Callithrix jacchus: one gene and its partners. The protein of the gene in region 1 interacts with the protein of each later gene in a pairwise test. Links are inferred from orthologs where the notes say so. Each region holds a gene or a part of one and is shown on either strand. Other genes may lie near its edges.

The links.
Region 2: the proteins of DISC1 (region 1) and PGK1 interact in a two-hybrid assay, tested with the Homo sapiens proteins (2 studies listed by BioGRID and IntAct). The link is inferred for Callithrix jacchus from reciprocal best matches to the Homo sapiens genes DISC1 and PGK1.
Region 3: the proteins of DISC1 (region 1) and SRGAP3 interact in a two-hybrid assay, tested with the Homo sapiens proteins (2 studies listed by BioGRID and IntAct). The link is inferred for Callithrix jacchus from reciprocal best matches to the Homo sapiens genes DISC1 and SRGAP3.

What each region holds. Positions count from the first base shown.
Region 1 is NC_133520.1:52,904,936-52,910,127, forward strand, and holds part of DISC1 (disrupted in schizophrenia 1 protein), read right to left. Parts: intron 3,951-5,192; coding exon 3,812-3,950; 3' UTR 1-3,811. UniProt on the Homo sapiens protein: Involved in the regulation of multiple aspects of embryonic and adult neurogenesis. Required for neural progenitor proliferation in the ventrical/subventrical zone during embryonic brain development and in the adult dentate gyrus of the hippocampus.
Region 2 is NC_133524.1:75,879,828-75,886,222, reverse strand, and holds the end of PGK1 (phosphoglycerate kinase 1), read right to left. Parts: intron 4,984-6,395; coding exon 4,869-4,983; intron 4,548-4,868; coding exon 4,368-4,547; intron 2,736-4,367; coding exon 2,558-2,735; intron 2,301-2,557; coding exon 2,202-2,300; intron 1,838-2,201; coding exon 1,797-1,837; 3' UTR 1,369-1,796; downstream 1-1,368. UniProt on the Homo sapiens protein: Catalyzes one of the two ATP producing reactions in the glycolytic pathway via the reversible conversion of 1,3-diphosphoglycerate to 3-phosphoglycerate.
Region 3 is NC_133516.1:66,189,854-66,195,659, forward strand, and holds part of SRGAP3 (SLIT-ROBO Rho GTPase-activating protein 3), read right to left. Parts: intron 3,417-5,806; coding exon 3,003-3,416; 3' UTR 1-3,002. UniProt on the Homo sapiens protein: GTPase-activating protein for RAC1 and perhaps Cdc42, but not for RhoA small GTPase. May attenuate RAC1 signaling in neurons.

The DNA.
Region 1 (5,192 bases):
TGGAAGTGTGGGAAGCCTCGTTTGCCCTACGCTCAGTTTCTTGGACTCCCCAGCCAAGATTTTCACAGTGGCCATGTGTTCTTAACCAGGTGAACAAATAAGTCCCATGGCTCAAAGTCTCAAAAGGACATTAAAGGAACTTTAGGAAGAGACTACTAGTTAAGGGCACGCTGCCTGTCTCTGACTGTTAGGTTCACTATTAATCCACATTTTAGCATCTCTGTGCCTTAGAAAAAGAGAATTGGTCCTCTTAAGGCTCAGTTGCATCATCCACAAACACCTTCCTTATAATGTTGATACGGGGATTATATGATACGACTGTAAAGAGCTTAGCATGGTACCACCCCTTACATGTTTCTGGGGTGGGGAAACCAGCCTTACTGCAGGGAAAGATGAGTTTCCAATGCTACATACTATTTGGAGAAGGATCGATTCAGTTTTGAAATTTCAGAAAGTTGGATGGCACTGGGACTGTAACTGCTAGACAGCATGTCCTAACTAATGCAGGTGAAAGAAAAAGTGGTGGCCATTTGAAAGCCAGCATTCCAGCGAGGCGGGCAGTAGAATATCTCACTTACTCTCTCACACCACATCCCAGTCAAATCAGACTCTAACTCATCATCTTCAATATGTGCTTTTGCTTGTGGTCTTAGCTATCTCCAACACAAATTTTTGTTGTTGTTTTAATGCTTTTAAATCTAAGTCCTAATCTCTCTCAGATATTTTTATGTTGCCCTGACAAAAACGGCCTTATACTATGGTTGGGGATACACAGTCCTGGGTCTTCCAGGGCTTAAGGCAGTGGCTTAAGGCAGTGGGGTTGTCCTGAGACGGTTGTGTAGCCAGAAGAAGCACTCTGGCTCTTAGCAGGCTTTCTGAATGACACTTTAAGACCAAGCAAAGACAACAGATGAGTTACAGCATGGGGTTGAAACATTAGGCCGGGCGCAGTGGCTCACGCCTGTAATCCCAGCACTTTGGGAGGCTGAGGCGGGTGGATCACGAGGTCAAGAGATCAAGACCATCCAGGTCAATATGGTAAAACCCCATCTCTACTAAAAATACAAAAAATTACTGGGCATGGTGGCGTGTGCCTGTAATCCCAGCTACTCGGGAGGCTGAGGAAGGAGAATTGCCTGAACCCAGGAGGCGGAGGTTGTGGTGAGCCGAGATCGCACCATTGCACTCCAGCCTGGGTAACAAGAGCGAAAACTCCATCTCAAAAAAAAGAAACATTACTCACCTGCTCAAATACTTCAAAATTTGCTGCAGGGAAATGAATACACTATCCACTGGAGGTACCAAAGAACGCTTATTTGGGGTTCAAATAATTCAAAGCAGTTATTAACTTGCAGAATTTTCAAATACACCATGACCTCACAGAATTACTTCATGAGGTGTCTAAGTAATACAAAACACTTGGGCTAGTGACTGTTAACATGTCTGGTGTCTGGGAGGCTTTTTAAAAGACATATGTCAAAGTAGAAATTTGTTATTGGCAACGTGGTCAATCCTGACTCTTCTCAAGTTTTGCTTCACTGGCATTAATTCAAGGATTCCAAGTGCCACGCGACTAGTTCATAATTTTCTTTAGACACAATTATAAATAATTCAGAAATTTGGTTCATCATTGAAAAATGAAGTCCAGGAACAAACTAATTATGCTTATTATTAAAATATGTAGAGTGTATTTTGCTTGCGATAAAGCCGCAGGGAACACAATCAGCACATTCACATATGGTGCTTTTGCTTCGTTTCCTGAACCCCAGCCAATTGCTGGCTTAAGCAGGGCCATCTCCTCGACTGAGGACAGAAGTGCTGCACAGTATGGAAGGCTCAGCAAAGCACCAGATGCCTTCTGGAAATGCCAGTGACTTCAGGAAATGACCAAAATGGCCTCGTATCCATGGATCCTAGTGAAGGCAGGAACCTCACTATCCCTGAACATATCAATGAGGACAGAAGCACAAACAGAACATTTACTGGATTAAATTTACCAATCTGCACAAGTTTGAGTGTGGTTTCTGAAATGATATAAGTCAGTGTTTGGACTAGGACTTCCTCGGAGAGTGCAGCGCTGACCAATACTAGATCTATGGGATATGAATAGGAGTTACATGAAAAAAATTCATGATCCATTAAACTTGGAAAGTTTGAGGTTAGATAAAATCAAGTGGCTTTCCTTATTATAACTTCTCTCACAGACTAATATGCTAATGTGTCCTGTGGCTCTCCAAGCAGATATGATGGTATGGTGTATTTACCAAAGGTACTTGACCAGAGAGGGGGACTCCTTTGGTTAGAGAGCACCTCTTGGGGCCACCTTCCTAAGTGCACTTTGGGAAGTGCTGCCTAATTGAAATCAGCCTGTTTTGCAGCTGTCTCAATAGGAGTCCCAGCTTGGCCTGCAGGAAGAGCCCAGCAGGAGCCCGCAATGCCCTTGCATTATTGAATACTGCACTGATTTACTGAGTACTACATTGGCTGAGTACTGCACTGTGTTACTGAGAACTGTGCTGTCCTACTGAGTACTACACTGTGTTACTGAGTACTGCACGGCCTTACTAAGCCCTGCACTGCCTTATTGAGCATTGCACTGTGTAACTGAGTACTGCACTGCCTTACTGAATACTGTACTGTATTACTGAGTACTGCACTGTGTTACTGAGTATTGTACTGCCTCACTGAGCGCTACACTGCATTCCTGAGTACTGTACTGTCTTACTATTGCACATTTCTGAGTACTGTACTGCCTTACTGAGTACTGCACTGCCTGAGTACTGCATTGCCTGAGTACTGTACTGTATTACTGAGTACTGCACTGTGTTACTGAGTATTGTACTGCCTCACTGAGCGCTACACTGCATTCCTGAGTACTGTACTGTCTTACTGAATATTGCACATTTCTGAGTACTGTACTGCCTTACTGAGTACTGCACTGCCTGAGTACTGCACTGCCTGAGTACTGTACTGTATTACTGAGTACTGCACTGCTTTCCTAAATGCTGCACTGCCTGGCATTGAGTGAAATATGTTCCATGGGAAAACAGAACAGGCTCAAACATTTCATTCGGGTCTCCTGATCCATTCACAGCCTCACTACAGGTAAATTACAGAATGTCCTGATGAAACAGAGACTCTCGAGGATCCTTTCTTCAGATGTAATCATTGCCACAAAAGGAAACTGAAAGGTGGCATATCACTGACAGGCTGCTGCCTAACTAAAATATCTTTTGGAAATTGCATAGTAATTTTTCTAAGATAATATTAGATCACAGGAGAAGTAAGGTGAAAAGCTGTTAATTCCAGACTCTGAGGTTAATTAGCTCTCTTAGTGGTGCACCTGTAGGAACGTGTAACAGGTAGGATGACAGAGTCTTATGCTTGGTTTCCTTTTTATAGAATCTTGAATCAGGAAATGTTTTAGTTACAGCAGAAGGCAAATGGTGTAGAAAAAAGAGATATTTTTTTCCAGAATTCACCCCAGCTTCTCTCTACTGGGGATTGAAATGAAAATATTCTTGAATCCTGTGCAGGACATTCCCATGAATGACATGGCAAAGAAAATTTTTAATGACATTTAGAAGCAAATTCAGCAAATCAGTCTCCCTCTCCATATTCCAATTTGCAGACTCCTCGGTTTCTGACTCATGAGAATGAACATGAACCACCTTTCCACTGAAAGACATCAAGGCTCTGTGTCTCCATAATTGATTCAGGCACATTAGTTATGCAGTGGGAAGGGAGAGTAGACCCCCGGGTCCAAACTGTTGACATGGTGGCCCACCTCCCTCCCCCATCCCGTCACTCCTCAGGCTTGCACTTCCCGGACACCAGCTGTCATGCAGGAAGCTGCAGCTTCTCTTTCCCCCGCCTCCTTTGCTGGCTGGAGCTGCAGGATCATGGCCTGCAGAGTTTCCTTCACCATCTGGAGCTCCCTCTTGAGAGACTGTGGGCACGTTGTTAAGGAGCACATCCGAAGGTGATGGCGGCCCTCTGCAGCCTCCAAGGGATGGAAGAGCATGTGAGCCCCCTGGAAGCAGATGGGCACTGCCATCTAATTGCAGTTTCAAGTTCTTTCAAATTGTAGGAATTAAATATTAATACAAATTTTACACTTTTTCTTTTAAGAATAATTGCAATTTCTACAATGCCTGAGGTACTGACTATCTCAAATCAGGTCTTAAAAAGGAAATGGAAGAGTAAGCTCTTAGCTGAGACAGATGGCCACCTCAGATGCTCAATGATCTGTGGTTGGCAGGACCATAACTCCGGCTAAGCCCCAAGTTGGGGTGGGGCAACTGTCAGATGCAAATACTCTTGATAGTGGAAAGTGCTTGAAATCAAAATCTCCTTGAGAAATACAGGATTTGGGGTCACCTAAGTAGGGAGAGGAATACTGGACCAGACTCAGCTATTAACCTGGTCCCTGTTCACCACTAACCAGCCTTGTCACCTTATGCAAATCAGTTACAGCCTCAGTTTTCTCATGAAACGATGACTTTGAAATCCCTCTGGGCTCTAACCTGCTGTTATCTGTTAGTATATTTCCAGGGACTTGACAGAGTCCTTCAAAGGGCAAAGAGAGCTCCCTGTTTCTGGGTTGGTTGGTTGGTTCTTTTTTCCTTTAATTGTTGAGATCTTAGTTTTCTAACCTATAGTTATTTCTCACATGGAGAAAACAATCATAGAGAACTTAGCAAATAGTCATAGATAAGGCTGTCGTTCTCTTAAGACATGGGTTCTCATCTGGGTGTTCAAGCGGGGGAATGTTTGACCAATCGTGGTTTAGTGGTTTTTCTGTCCATACCTCATCCAGTTCATCCTTTCCCTTTTCCCTTGTAGTCAGAACAACTCCAAGGCAAATGCAGGGTGAGAGTTGGGTTTAACAAGCAAATTGGTCCACTCTTATCCTACAGGAGCCAAGGGAGAAAGTAGAAATACGTTGATACCACCTAAACATGCTGAAGTCATCACATAAAGCCAGACCACTCCAACAGGACTAGATCAGACATGGAGGGAATAGAGAGCTTTGGGAAAGGAGTCTGACTGCTCACGGACCACCTACACTACAATGTGGTTTTCCCAAAGTGCAACGTCAATGCAGTGTCAAGAGAAACAGACGCCCTTACGAACCACTGTGGAAAGCGTTCCCTCTCTTTTCTTTCTTTCTTTTTTTCTTTTTTTTTGAG
Region 2 (6,395 bases), on another chromosome or scaffold:
ACAAAAAAGATATAGTCTAGAAGCATCATGTCAGGGAGGGAGGCACATTGGAAAAGCATCAGCCATTGGAACCAGACAAACCTGGACTTGAATCCCTGCTGTTACTTAGCTCTGTGATCCTGTCCAAAGTTTATTTCTTCATATCTAAAGGTAAAATATGTATCTTGCATGTAAAATGCCCAGCACAGAATTTCTGGTCAGACATAGCTTTTTCAAATGATGTTTACCTCTGCTCTCTCCCAAAACTCCATTAAAAGGACAGGAAAGAAATAGGAAGGTAAAATTATAAGGATGATGAAAGAATCCAAATGGCCATTAGATTCTCGACAGTGACAATGAAACAATGGCTTCAAGTCTCAAAAAGTGATACCCAGGCTAAAATTCTATATATAGCCAAACTAGGAATCAAGTATAAGGGTTGAATAAAGACATTTTCAGACTTACAAGATCTTAGAGATTTTGCCTCCCAGGCACCCTTTCTCAGGAAGCTAGTAGAGTCTTGTGTTCTACAAAAAGTAGACCAAGAAAGAAGGAAAAGGGGGAATTTAGATCAGGAGTCTAACACAGGAGGTAAAAGGAATCCCCAAGAAGGTTATAGGAAATCCCAGAGCAACAGCTGTACAACTTACCTAAAGGGCATCAAGTACAAATGGAAAAAAGAGCACCAAGGACTCCTGCAGGGATAGCTCTGACAAGGATTATTCAGTATGTTTTAATATATTGACACATGCTTCTGGAAGATTTGGGAATGAATCACTGATAGGTATACATAGAAAAGAATTTTTTTTAAACTCTGTTAACTCCAAAAAAAATAAAAGTTACATAAGTAAATTTAATCATAGCATACTGCATAGCTCAGCTGTATTAGTTATATAGACTTCTGATCTAAAATTGTTACAAAACTATAATGAGAGAATGAAGAAGTGGAAATATATGTGGAACAGAGACTTCTTCCATGGTATGAAATTAACAGATTTCTTTAAAAGAAAAAGAAAAAAAAAGAAGTGAACAATATAAGCATATTACTTAGAAACCTAGAGGTATATACCAGAAAAACTCAAGAGTTGAAAGTGGTCACCTCTGGGGAGTGGGAATCTTGAATGGGAAGAATGGGCTGGGGCTTTTTTGTTATAAGCCTTGACTTTTTAAAGGATGACCATGTATAACTAATAAAAGTAAGTTAGAATAAAAGCACTAAAACAATGTCTGCCACAAAGTAGGCCCTTGATAAAGAATAAACATTTATCTAATTGTCCCATCTCTCCACTGCTGCTGCCCCACTTCTTGCATTCAGCAATGTAGATATCTGATCCATTCCTCGAGATTCTATTCTCACCCTTCCTAACAAAGTATGACAGGAAAAAAAAATCACGGTTTCAATGGACACTTTTATTGTTTATTTAATGGATCATCAATTTCACCTCCCTGCCTACAAAGGCAATTTCATCTTGTTTCCATGCTGAGTAGTGAAACAGTAACAAAGCTAGTAAGAATAAGCTACATCAAAACTAAGCTAACACAGCTCACTAACAGGCAAAATATAAATATATGCACTCTAGAATGCACAATGGTTTAGTCACTAAGAAATTCAAATGGGATCTTGAAGAATGTAGGCATATCCAGGGTGCAGTAAAGATGAGCTGAGATGCTGTGCAACTGTTTAAGGGTTCCTGTCACTGCATCTCTTGGCCACTAGCTGAATCGACATGGAAGGTTTTGGCTAATGCCAAGTGGAGATGCAGAAAATGCTAAGTTGACTTGGGGGCTGTGCACAGGAACTAAAAGGCAGGAAAGTACTAAATATTGCTGAGAGCATCCACCCCAGGAAGGACTTTACCTGTTTTTGAGAGAGCACACATACACAAACAGCATTACTATAGGGCCCAGTAAGCCAGATCTCCCCCATTTATCTTCCCAATAACATGCCAGCTCTTTTTTAGGATATATGGCCAGGAGTTGAGGAACTTTTGCATTTTGGATTCCAGGTCTACTAGACCATAGCTCTCAGAACAAGTTTCTGTCTGTCCCTCCCCACCTCAATGGATGCCAGGAGCTTTATCTGAAGTTCCTCTGTACTGCCCAGCTAGTAATGACTGCTAATGACAACAGAACCTACCAACTTTCTCTACTCCATTTTACCCACCTCTCACTGCACAGTCCTACCCTTCTCCCAAGCAAGCCAAAAAACAAAAGAACCTCACCTTCCAGGAGCTCTAAACTGGCACCACCCCCAGTGCTCACATGGCTGACCTTATCCTCCGTGTTCCATTTGGCACAGCAAGTGGCAGTGTCTCCACCACCTGTTGAATGAAAGCCAGGTAAAAAGAGAAAAGAAAAAAAAAATGTTTGGCACCAAAACTGTAAGGCAGTGTGCTCTCTAACCCAAAAGATAGCTGATAGACCCCCAACTCTATCTTACCAAGAGGTAAATTATCTACCTGTTTAGCTCTTAAGATTTACCCAGAATGAAGAGACAGAAGAAGTTCTCTATTCTACCTTCCTCTGATCAGAATTCTGCCAGCTCATATTAGTATTACCTTTGTATAGGACCACTTACCTATGATGGTGATGCAGCCCCTAGAAGTGGCTTTCACCACCTCATCCATGAGGGCTTTGGTTCCCCGGGCAAAAGCTTCCCATTCAAATACCCCCACAGGACCATTCCACACAATCTGCTTAGCCCGAGTGACAGCCTCAGCATACTTCTTGCTGCTTTCAGGACCACAGTCCAAGCCCTGAGGGGCAGAGTTGAAAGAGAAGATGAGCTATCAAGAAAAGCTACTGAAACACCACCTCTACCAAGACCAGAACTCAAGGCTGCACACCAGAGTTTCTTCTAGAACCAAATGTTACCCTTCAGTCTTTAAAATTATAAACCTGTTCATGCCCTTTGTACTCAAAAATTCTACTGTATGGAAGAGCAAGTCTAAAGGAAAACCTCAAAAGTTATTTAATAAAGACATTCTTAGCCATACTATTTATGTTAGCGAAGACTAGATCAATGGTTTTCAACCAGGGTCAGTTCTGCCCTTCCACAATGGATAGACATGTGGCAATGTCTAGAGATATTTTTGTTGTTGCAACTTGGGAGGTTGCTACTGGCATCTAGTGGCCAAGGCTGCTTTAAACAACCTTACGATTCAGCAGTCACTCATAAAACAGATGTCAATAGTGTTGGGAATGACAGACAGTGAACTAAATCAGTCGTACTCAAATTCTGCCATGCATGAGAATCACCAGAAGGGCTTATTCAAAAAGACTGCTCAGCCCCACCCCCAATTTCTGATTCAGTAGGTCTGGGGTGGGGCCTAAGAACTTGCATTTTTAACAAGTTCCAAAAATGATACTGATACTGCTGGTCTTAGGAACACACTTGGAGAAACACTGAACTAAATAATACCTGAATGCCTGACAAAAGAAAAACTAAGCAAACTAGCATGTAAAAACATGTTACAATTTTATATAGCTATAAAAATGATATTCAGAGTACCCTAAAATCAACTATATTAGTATATACACATATATTCCTCCCTGCTTGTAATCAGTATACTTCTTAATCTTTTCATATGAGAAAGTTTTTTTTCTTTTTGAGACAGGGTTTCACCATGTTGGTCAGACTGGTCTCGAACTCCGGACCTCAGGTAATCTACCTGCCTCGGCCTCCCAAAGTGCTGGGATTACAGGCGTGAGCCACCACACCCGGCCAAGAAATTTTCTTATATAAGTTTCTAGGTAGCAAAATAATCCAAAGCAAACCAAACCACGAAAGTGCATAACACTATCTCCAGCACACAGTAAGTACTTTATACACACTAAACAGAAGAAGTAAAAAAACAGAAAAAACAAAAAATGGGCCGGGCACAGTTGCTCACGCCTGTACTCCCAGCACTTTGGGAGGGCGAGGCAGGTAAATCACGAGGTCAAGAGATCGAGATCATCCTGGTCAACATGGTGAAACCCCATCTCCACTAAAAATATTAAAATTAGCTGGGCATGGTGGCACGCGCCTGTAGTCCCAGCTACTCGAGAGGCTGAGGCAGGAGAATCGCTTGAACCCGGGAGGCAGAGGTTGCAGTGAGCTGAGATCACTCCACTGCACTCCAGCCTGGCAACTGAGCGAGACTCCATCTCAAAAAAAAAAAAGGTTTTGCAACATTACTGATGAAGACACCAGTAGTCCAATAGCACTGCTTTTCTCCTATGGATTCTCCCATAATAAGGGACTCACTGCAACATGCGGCACACTCTCTGACAGAGATCTCCTATAGAGATTGTTTTAAAATGCTTGTTGATTGGCTGAATCAATGAATGAATGACACCACAAAGTTTCTATTCACTCACACTACCAACCCACTCAAGTGACTCACCATCCAGCCAGCAGGTATGCCAGAAGCCACAGTGGCTTGGCCAGTCTTGGCATTCTCATCAAACTTGTCAGCAGTGACGAAGTCAACAGGCAAGGTAATCTTCACACCATTCTTCTCAGCTTTGGACATTAGGTCTTTGACAATCTTGGCTCCCTCTTCATCAAACAGAGAAGTACCGATCTACACAGGGAAGCCAAAATGATGAAGGTCAGCATCTATACTAAGAACAAGACTGCCTTGCAAAGCAGACAGGAACCACACACAATGCAATATAAAGGAACAAGGGAAAGACAAAAGAAAAACTTGCCAAAATAAATAAAAATGGGAGTTTTAGATCGCGCCATTGCACTCCAGCCTGGGTAACAAGAGCGAAACTCAGTCTCAGAAAGAAAGGGGGGGGGTTTCAGGGCTCATGTCAAAAGATCATTTTCTTTTTACATTTATACAACCTGCTATTATCATGGAGAGTTATTTCACATCCACTTGGCATTGGTTTCCTACCTCCATGTTGTTGAGCACCTTAAGAAAGGTAAAAGCCATTCCACCACCAATAATCATCTCATTGACTTTGTCCAGCATATTATTGATCAGCTGGATCTTGTCTGCAACTTTAGCTCTAGAAGAGAAAGTAAGAATCATCACTTAAAGAACAATGTACTAGAAAAGTGACATATTACATAGAACCTGAGTTTCTTTATCAAGGCACAGGAACAGAGAAATGTCTCAAAGTGACAAAAGTACTGCCTAACTTTGCCCTGTTTCTCCAACCCAAAAACTCAATCCATTTCTAAGAAATCCTTTTAAGGTATGGCTCCAGACATCAGTACATCTTTTTAAAAATTTCTCACCCAACTTACCATCAGTACATCTTTTTAAAAATTCTACCTAGAAGCTGACAGACAACAGATTTAAACCCATATTCTTTTTTTAAGTAGGGCTCAGAAGACCTACTCTTGGCTAAGGAATCTATGAGTTCCAAATATATCTATTTTTCACACTCCCCAACACACACACACACACGATTTAGAGAATCAAGATTGCTAATTATGTCTGAGTACGACTGCTAATTATGGCACCCTGGAGCCCACTCACAATTATCCTAACCTTACAGCAGAGATCAGACTGTATACCAAATAAATATAAACTGCACAAAAATAGATAATCCTAAAGTCATACCCTATGCTCAGTTGCTAGGACATCTTCTTTTTTTCTCTCTCTTTTCAACATGAAGTCTCACTCTGTTGCCAAGGCTGGAGTGCAGTGGTGCAATCATAGCTCAGTGTAATCTGGAACTCCTAGGCTCAAGCAATCCTCTCGCCTCAACCTCTCAAGTAGCTAGAACTACAGGCGTACAACACTACCCCTGGATAATTTTTCTTTTTTAATTTTTTTGTAGAGACAAGGTCTCACTATGTTTTCCAGGCTAGTCTCAAACTCCGAAGCTCAAGTGATCCTCCTGCCTTGGTATTCCAAAGCACTAGGGTTACACACATAAGCCACCATGTCCAGCCTGGGACATTTTCTTTATGGCATTTGTTTTTGTTGGATCACCCAATTCAATACATTTACTGGGCACCTACTCTGTGCAAAGCACTATTCTAGGTCTTTGAGAAACATCAGTGGGCAAAGGCAAAAAAGAAAGATCCCTGCCCTTTGGGAGCTTATTTTCTAGTAAAAGAAAATAAGATAAATACACGTGCATCTTTCATCTCCCTATGAGAGAAAAAAGATCCAAACTAAAGAGAAACAAAGTAATAGCTTGTCTCCCATAAACATTTCCATATATCTAAATCCCACTTACATGGACAAATCGCCTTGAGTCTGTTTCCTTCTTCATTCAATAAAGAAGATAATGCCTATCCTGTGAGAGACCCTATGCTAGGATTTGTGAAAAGGAAGTATGAAACAACAGTGATGTGTGTGAACCAATGACAAGAAACTATTTACTACTTATTTCACTTGTAAAGATTGGTTACCACCAAGGGTATAGATGGATTGTTTTAAATACATACACACACACACACACAC
Region 3 (5,806 bases), on another chromosome or scaffold:
TACTAACTAGGTTACTACATTTCCCCCACACGCACTGTACAGTTAGGTTTCTGGTATTTGTTTTTACATTGATCTATCTACTAGGTGCAAAGATTTGGTGAGTGGCATTGGCTAAAATTTAATTGTAGCCTTTTTAAAAATTACAATTTCACATTTTAACAGTTACTTTCCAGCATTTAAGCAAATACAGCAATATATAGTGGACTAAAACAGGCAGGAGTCAGAAAGAGAAAGCCAATGTTCAGTGAACGTTGATGGGACTGAGTGCTGTGGAGGGTGACTGAGACATGCATAGTGCCAGATGAGGAAATGGGAACAGGGGAGGGGGCGGGGAAGTATTTTCCCACTTGGGCTGCATCAGGGCTCAGATTTGGGCCTGGATGAGTGGGGAGACGTCTGCCATCTGTGTGTGCGCATCCCTAAATGTGAACTCATCAGCCATTTCCCAATGGAAAAAAAATAGGTGCTTGAAGAAAACAGCTAAGCCTCTGCCTTCAGAAAATTCAGTGAAAGGCAGATCCATTTTCAGTAAGAAAAAAACAAAAGCAGTCAATTCAGAGAAAAATCCACATGGTCTGATTGGTGTTATGTATATCAGGCAACAGATTTGTCTACTCCGATTGTTGCCTTTCATCTGATAGCTGTGGCAGAGATTGCTATATTTTGCCTGGGAGGCTACTGGATTTAGGATCTGGTAGAAATCAGAAGTCTTGTGTCCTGACTGGCTAGCATAGCGTCGAGCATGCAAACACATGACTTTAAGAGCCTGACACAGCCTCTGCTCTTAGCCAGTTGTCAAATCTTGGGCAGGTCAAAGCACAGCCCAAGGCCTTACTCTCTGAAGCGGTAAAATGGCAATATCTTTCTGTGCTCCAAGGCAGAGGGCCTTTCGTATCCAGGAGTTAAAGAGAAGGGTTCATTCTAGGCCAAACAAGGGAAGTCAAGTTTGACACTGGCCTCTCCCTGAGATCCTTTCTTTGTTCCTTTCCTGATGCTCCTTTTCACTGTGGGGTGACAAGTCCAGTCCTTCAGACAAGGTAGAATGGCTAATGATGGAATCCAGGGCTCTTATTAAGATGGTAGGAAAATTCCACTGCTCACTTCTGAAATGCCATTAAGAGGTTTCAAAAAGAAGGGCTGGAGGGTTCTCATCTTAACACTTACCTTACTAATGATAATCACAAGAGCATTGTATTGATTTAGTGCTTTCCAGTGTACACAGCTTGCTCACTGCCATTTTACCTTTATTATCCTATTTTATGAGCAGAAAAGCCAGGCTCAATGAGGTGGAATGCCAAACCCTAAGTCACAAGGCTCCTAAGTGCTCAGGGCTGGGACTCAGACTCTGGGCCTTTTGATTCCAAACTTCAGTGGCCGAGAGAGAGAGGAAGCTTGGGAAGAATAGGGAAGAGCCTCTGGGTCTGGCAGGAGGGGGTAACAGTGGCCCACAGGACACACAGATTCACCCTGTGCCATTTCATTATCCAGAAACAGCTCATCACTGGAACTGATCAGAAGAGGAGGTACAAAGAAATCAAAGGAGAGCGACCCAGAAGGGCTTCGCTCAGCCAAGAGGCAAAGGCCTTGCTGTCACACACGAAGATCATGCACCCATTCCTATCACCACATTTTCATCTACGCTAAATGTTCTGGAGGGAGTGGGTGAAGGGGAAGGGAAGGGAAGCTATGCCACTTGTTTTAACTCAACTGACAGTGTCCTTTAGGACAGAAAGTGCCAAGGACTGTCCCTCCCTGGCCCCAGTCTGAACTGGGCGCTCACGGCTCATGCGTTTCATGCAAGACGGCACCAGCCATAGTGCGTCACAGCCTGATTTAAAATGAAAACGATGTGACTCAAAGCCTCCTTGCCTGTTTAGTTCCAAATCTGACACAGTATAATTAGTAGAACCAGGAAAAGAAAAAATTAAATATTTTGAAAATGATATAAGTTAAACCTCTATAGTTACCACAGATTTATTCCTACAGCGTTTCTAGGTTTTGAAGTATTTCACACCACTGTATTTTTATTTTTCCCTTTTTCCCAACCACATGTAATACTGTGCTACAATGGGGCTGAGGTTCTCACTATCCCCTGCCTCTACACACAAACACAAGGATGTGGTGGTCAGGGGTCTTCTCGCCAACTTTCTCCCGTGCCTTCGGGGATACAGTTGGCCTTTGGCCTCCGGGTGGAAGGGCAGGGTCTCTGGGGTGGACAGGGGTGGGGATTTTCTATGAAGGGTTCCCCACCTCTGGGAGCAGCCTGCTTAGGGGTACTGCCTGCCCCACCCTTCCTTGAGGGGCAGACTGTTCTGGAAGGCCACGACTTCTGGAGACAGTGGGAGACTGTTTTTGTTTGTGTTTTTCTGCAGGTTAGTGATATATTGCTTCATTCGCAGTTACTATGGGCCTCTAAGTTCTCCCAGAAAAGTCCCTGCAAATCCCACCAAATAACTCAGTGGGAGATGTTTGGTGGCATGGGTCTGAGGTAAATCTAAGTTTCATAAAAAGAAAAAGGAGATACTATATACACTTAGTATGTGTGTGTCCAGATCTAGTATATGTATATAGATGCATAAATATATATATATATACACACACCTACAGACACATACATACATATACATGTGTATATATGCACACATCGATATACACACACATATAGGTATGTAGACAGAATGTCGAGAGAGGAAGTTTCCAGTGACGATATGCGGGAGAAGCCACGTCGCATGTCACCTCGATGTTAGGAGATGCTGTGGTTGGGGCTGCCGGAGTTCCGGCACTCCTCTGGACGTCTGCGGACACGCGAGAGGTCTGTGGGATTCCCACGGCTGGACGTGAACTGCAGCCAGCGCCTACCTCAGCTCTGCACAGACACATCCTCCCAGGCTGACCTCTGCCCTCCAAGGCCAGGGTCACTGGGAAGCACGTGGAAGCCACCGAGGCCACCCTGGGCCGTGGCGAGCCACAGTGGGCCATGACAGGGTGGCCCATCCTGCAGGTCACATGGTGCCTGACTTGTCCGCTGAGCTGTTGGGGAACATCTTCTCGGTGGGCGTCACGGCTGGGCTGCCCACGCCTGAGCTGCTGCTGCTGCTGGACCGGTGCTGGACCACCGGCCGCACGGGCCGCATGGGGGGTGGGCGCAGCTGGGCGCCCGCCAGGCGGGCGGACAGGGCTGGCTTGAAGGTGGTCATCATCTCGGTGGAGGAGCTGCTGCTGCGGCGCATGGCGGCATCAGGGTCGCGGATGACGATGGTGTGAAGGGGACTGGCGGGCTCCGAGCTGATGGGGCCTGGGGGATTCTTCAGGGGCTCCAGGGTGTCCAGCACCACATCTGGCGCCTGCTTGACCGTGTTCTGCCTCTCGAGTTCCCGCAACTCGTGCAGAGCTGTGCTCATGGTCTTCTCGATGTCCTGGGGACAGAGGGAGCTGGGGTCAGCAGCGTCTGGAGGCCTGGAGCCAGGTCCTTCCTGTCTGTTAAGCAGCTTCCCTTCTTAGGGAGGTTCCCCAGAAGCCTCGCAGCAGGGATGGAGATTAAGTCCTCAGGGTGTCTTATAACACATGAGAACCAATGTGGCTATCCCCTGCATACTGCCTTGCACAGGAAATAGATTTAATAAGGGCAGGTCAGACTACTGATAAAGAGGGCAGGCCCTGGAGTCAGACAGACACAGATTCAAATCCTAGCCTTGTCACTTCCTTGCTACGTGACCTTATGCAAGTTCCCTCACCCCTCTGAGCCTCCAGAATCCTCATTTGCAAACAGCAGATAATTATAATATGGACCTCAGGGAGTTGGTAAGTGCATTAAACGATACAGTCCCTGTGAAAAGCCTGGCCTGACCCCTGACACAGAGTAAGCACTCAAAACTAAAAATGACAATAGTAGCAATAAGAGCTAACACTGAGCACCAATCCAAACCCTGTCCCCTAATAATTCATTTAATTCTCACATTTCTAAGGTAGGATCCACCTTTATGCTCATATCACACGTGAGGAAACTGAAGCTCAGACTGGTTAATAATTTGCCCCAGGTCACACAGCTAAGTAACAGCATAGCCCAAGTCTGAACCCAGGCAGTTCAGTATTTTTTTTAATCCTTGCTCACAAAAAATTACTTGGAGATTATGTACCAGAATGTTCACAGTGCTCATCCCAGAATAGAGGGACTGCTACTCTCTTCTCTGTATTATAATCAGAAAATTTTGTTTTTTAAAAAAGTGGCAATTTTAACAGGCAAGAAAAATCTCCTTCTGCCTACATAATTCCTGAGGATGTTATGATATCTGAGAGTTCATCAGGAGGAGAGCACTCCGAAGGACTCAGAGAGAGAGAGAGAGACCCCCCCCCATCCACCCATGGCAGCCCGAGCTCACCATGCCAGCTTCCCTCAGCTCCCATCCCCTCATGTTCAAGATGGTGCAGTAGCTAGAAGGCAGCATTTAGCCAGGAGCCCATGGACAGGGCACAGGGCCCCAGAATTTTGAGTAAAAAGACTGTGGCCAGTTGCTGGCTGTGTGACCCTGAGCAAGTCTTGATCATTCCATACCATATTTTGTTCACCTATTACACTCCCAGAAGTTTACTGAGAAGATGGGCTGAGATAATGGATGTGATGAAGCTTTGCAAACTGCCAGACGGTGGTTTTCAAAATGCTTCTAGCCCAAGAACCCTGTGGGTTCCCATGACTGTTGACAGGGATGCCTCCACATCCGACAGACATGAGAGGACCTGCTCTGGCTCAGCCAGGTCAGAGCCCAGCTGGCTTGGCCATTGAGGGCATCGTGACAGATATTGCCTAAACCACCACTAGTAGGTGCTATGCATGACCTCATGTAGCAATGATGACTGTTAAGACAGGCTTGCTTTATTGCAAATCCTAAAAAAATACATATGAGTCTGTTGAAATGGATGGAGTGGGAGCCTAGAAATCCTGGGGCCGGCCCCTTTCTCCACCGTGGTCTTTTACATTCTCTCCTTCTCCTGTCTGCAGGCAGCTTCTTGCCTGCCCTAGGCCCCAAGGTAGACTTCGATCTGGCTTGGGTCAGGGCCCCAAGCTCTTGCCTCCCTCATTGTCACAGCCTATCCTTTTTGTTAGGGGACTATGGACGTCTGGCTAATGGCTAATATTAGCTTGTATGCTTCTCCGGAATGTTTCATCCCTTGCCCCAGAACACCAGCAACTCTAAGAAAGGTCTTTTGTGCCTTATCCAAAAGGAGGCGCTGTCGGAGCAATTTTCTGCAGGAAGGGAGGGAAGGCAGACCTCTCCCCATCTCTGCTTTCTGCCAGCCCTGCAGTGACACAGCCTGCTTTCCTGCAGCCGAGCTGCCCTGTCATCATCCACTCTGCTTGAAGGAAGCCCCTTACTGACCTCACTACTCTCTATTTGCTCTAGTCCAGCATGAGCTGCAAGGTAAAACTTTAATAAATAAAATGTAATTATTGCCATTCCACCACTATCCTCCTCCCCCGACCCTCCACCACCACTACTCTACCCCAGCAGAGTGAACAGAAAGACAGAAAGCTCAGAGAAAGATCAGCTGAGTTGTTTAGGCTTCAGCCTTGCATTAGTCCGAGAGGTAATGCTGTGAGTCTCCAGAGCGGAGCTGCAGAGAGTCCCTGCAGGACAGAGTAGGGACTGCGATTGCTTTTCATCTCCTCCCCAATTTGATCTTCCCACTTTTGATGGCCGTGTTGCAAGTTCCTCAAGCAGCCTCTTTAAGTGGGTTCAAATCTAAATCCTACAGGACATTTTGAGACCAGAGAATTTTAGGTCACTCCACCTACTACTTGAGATGCTTC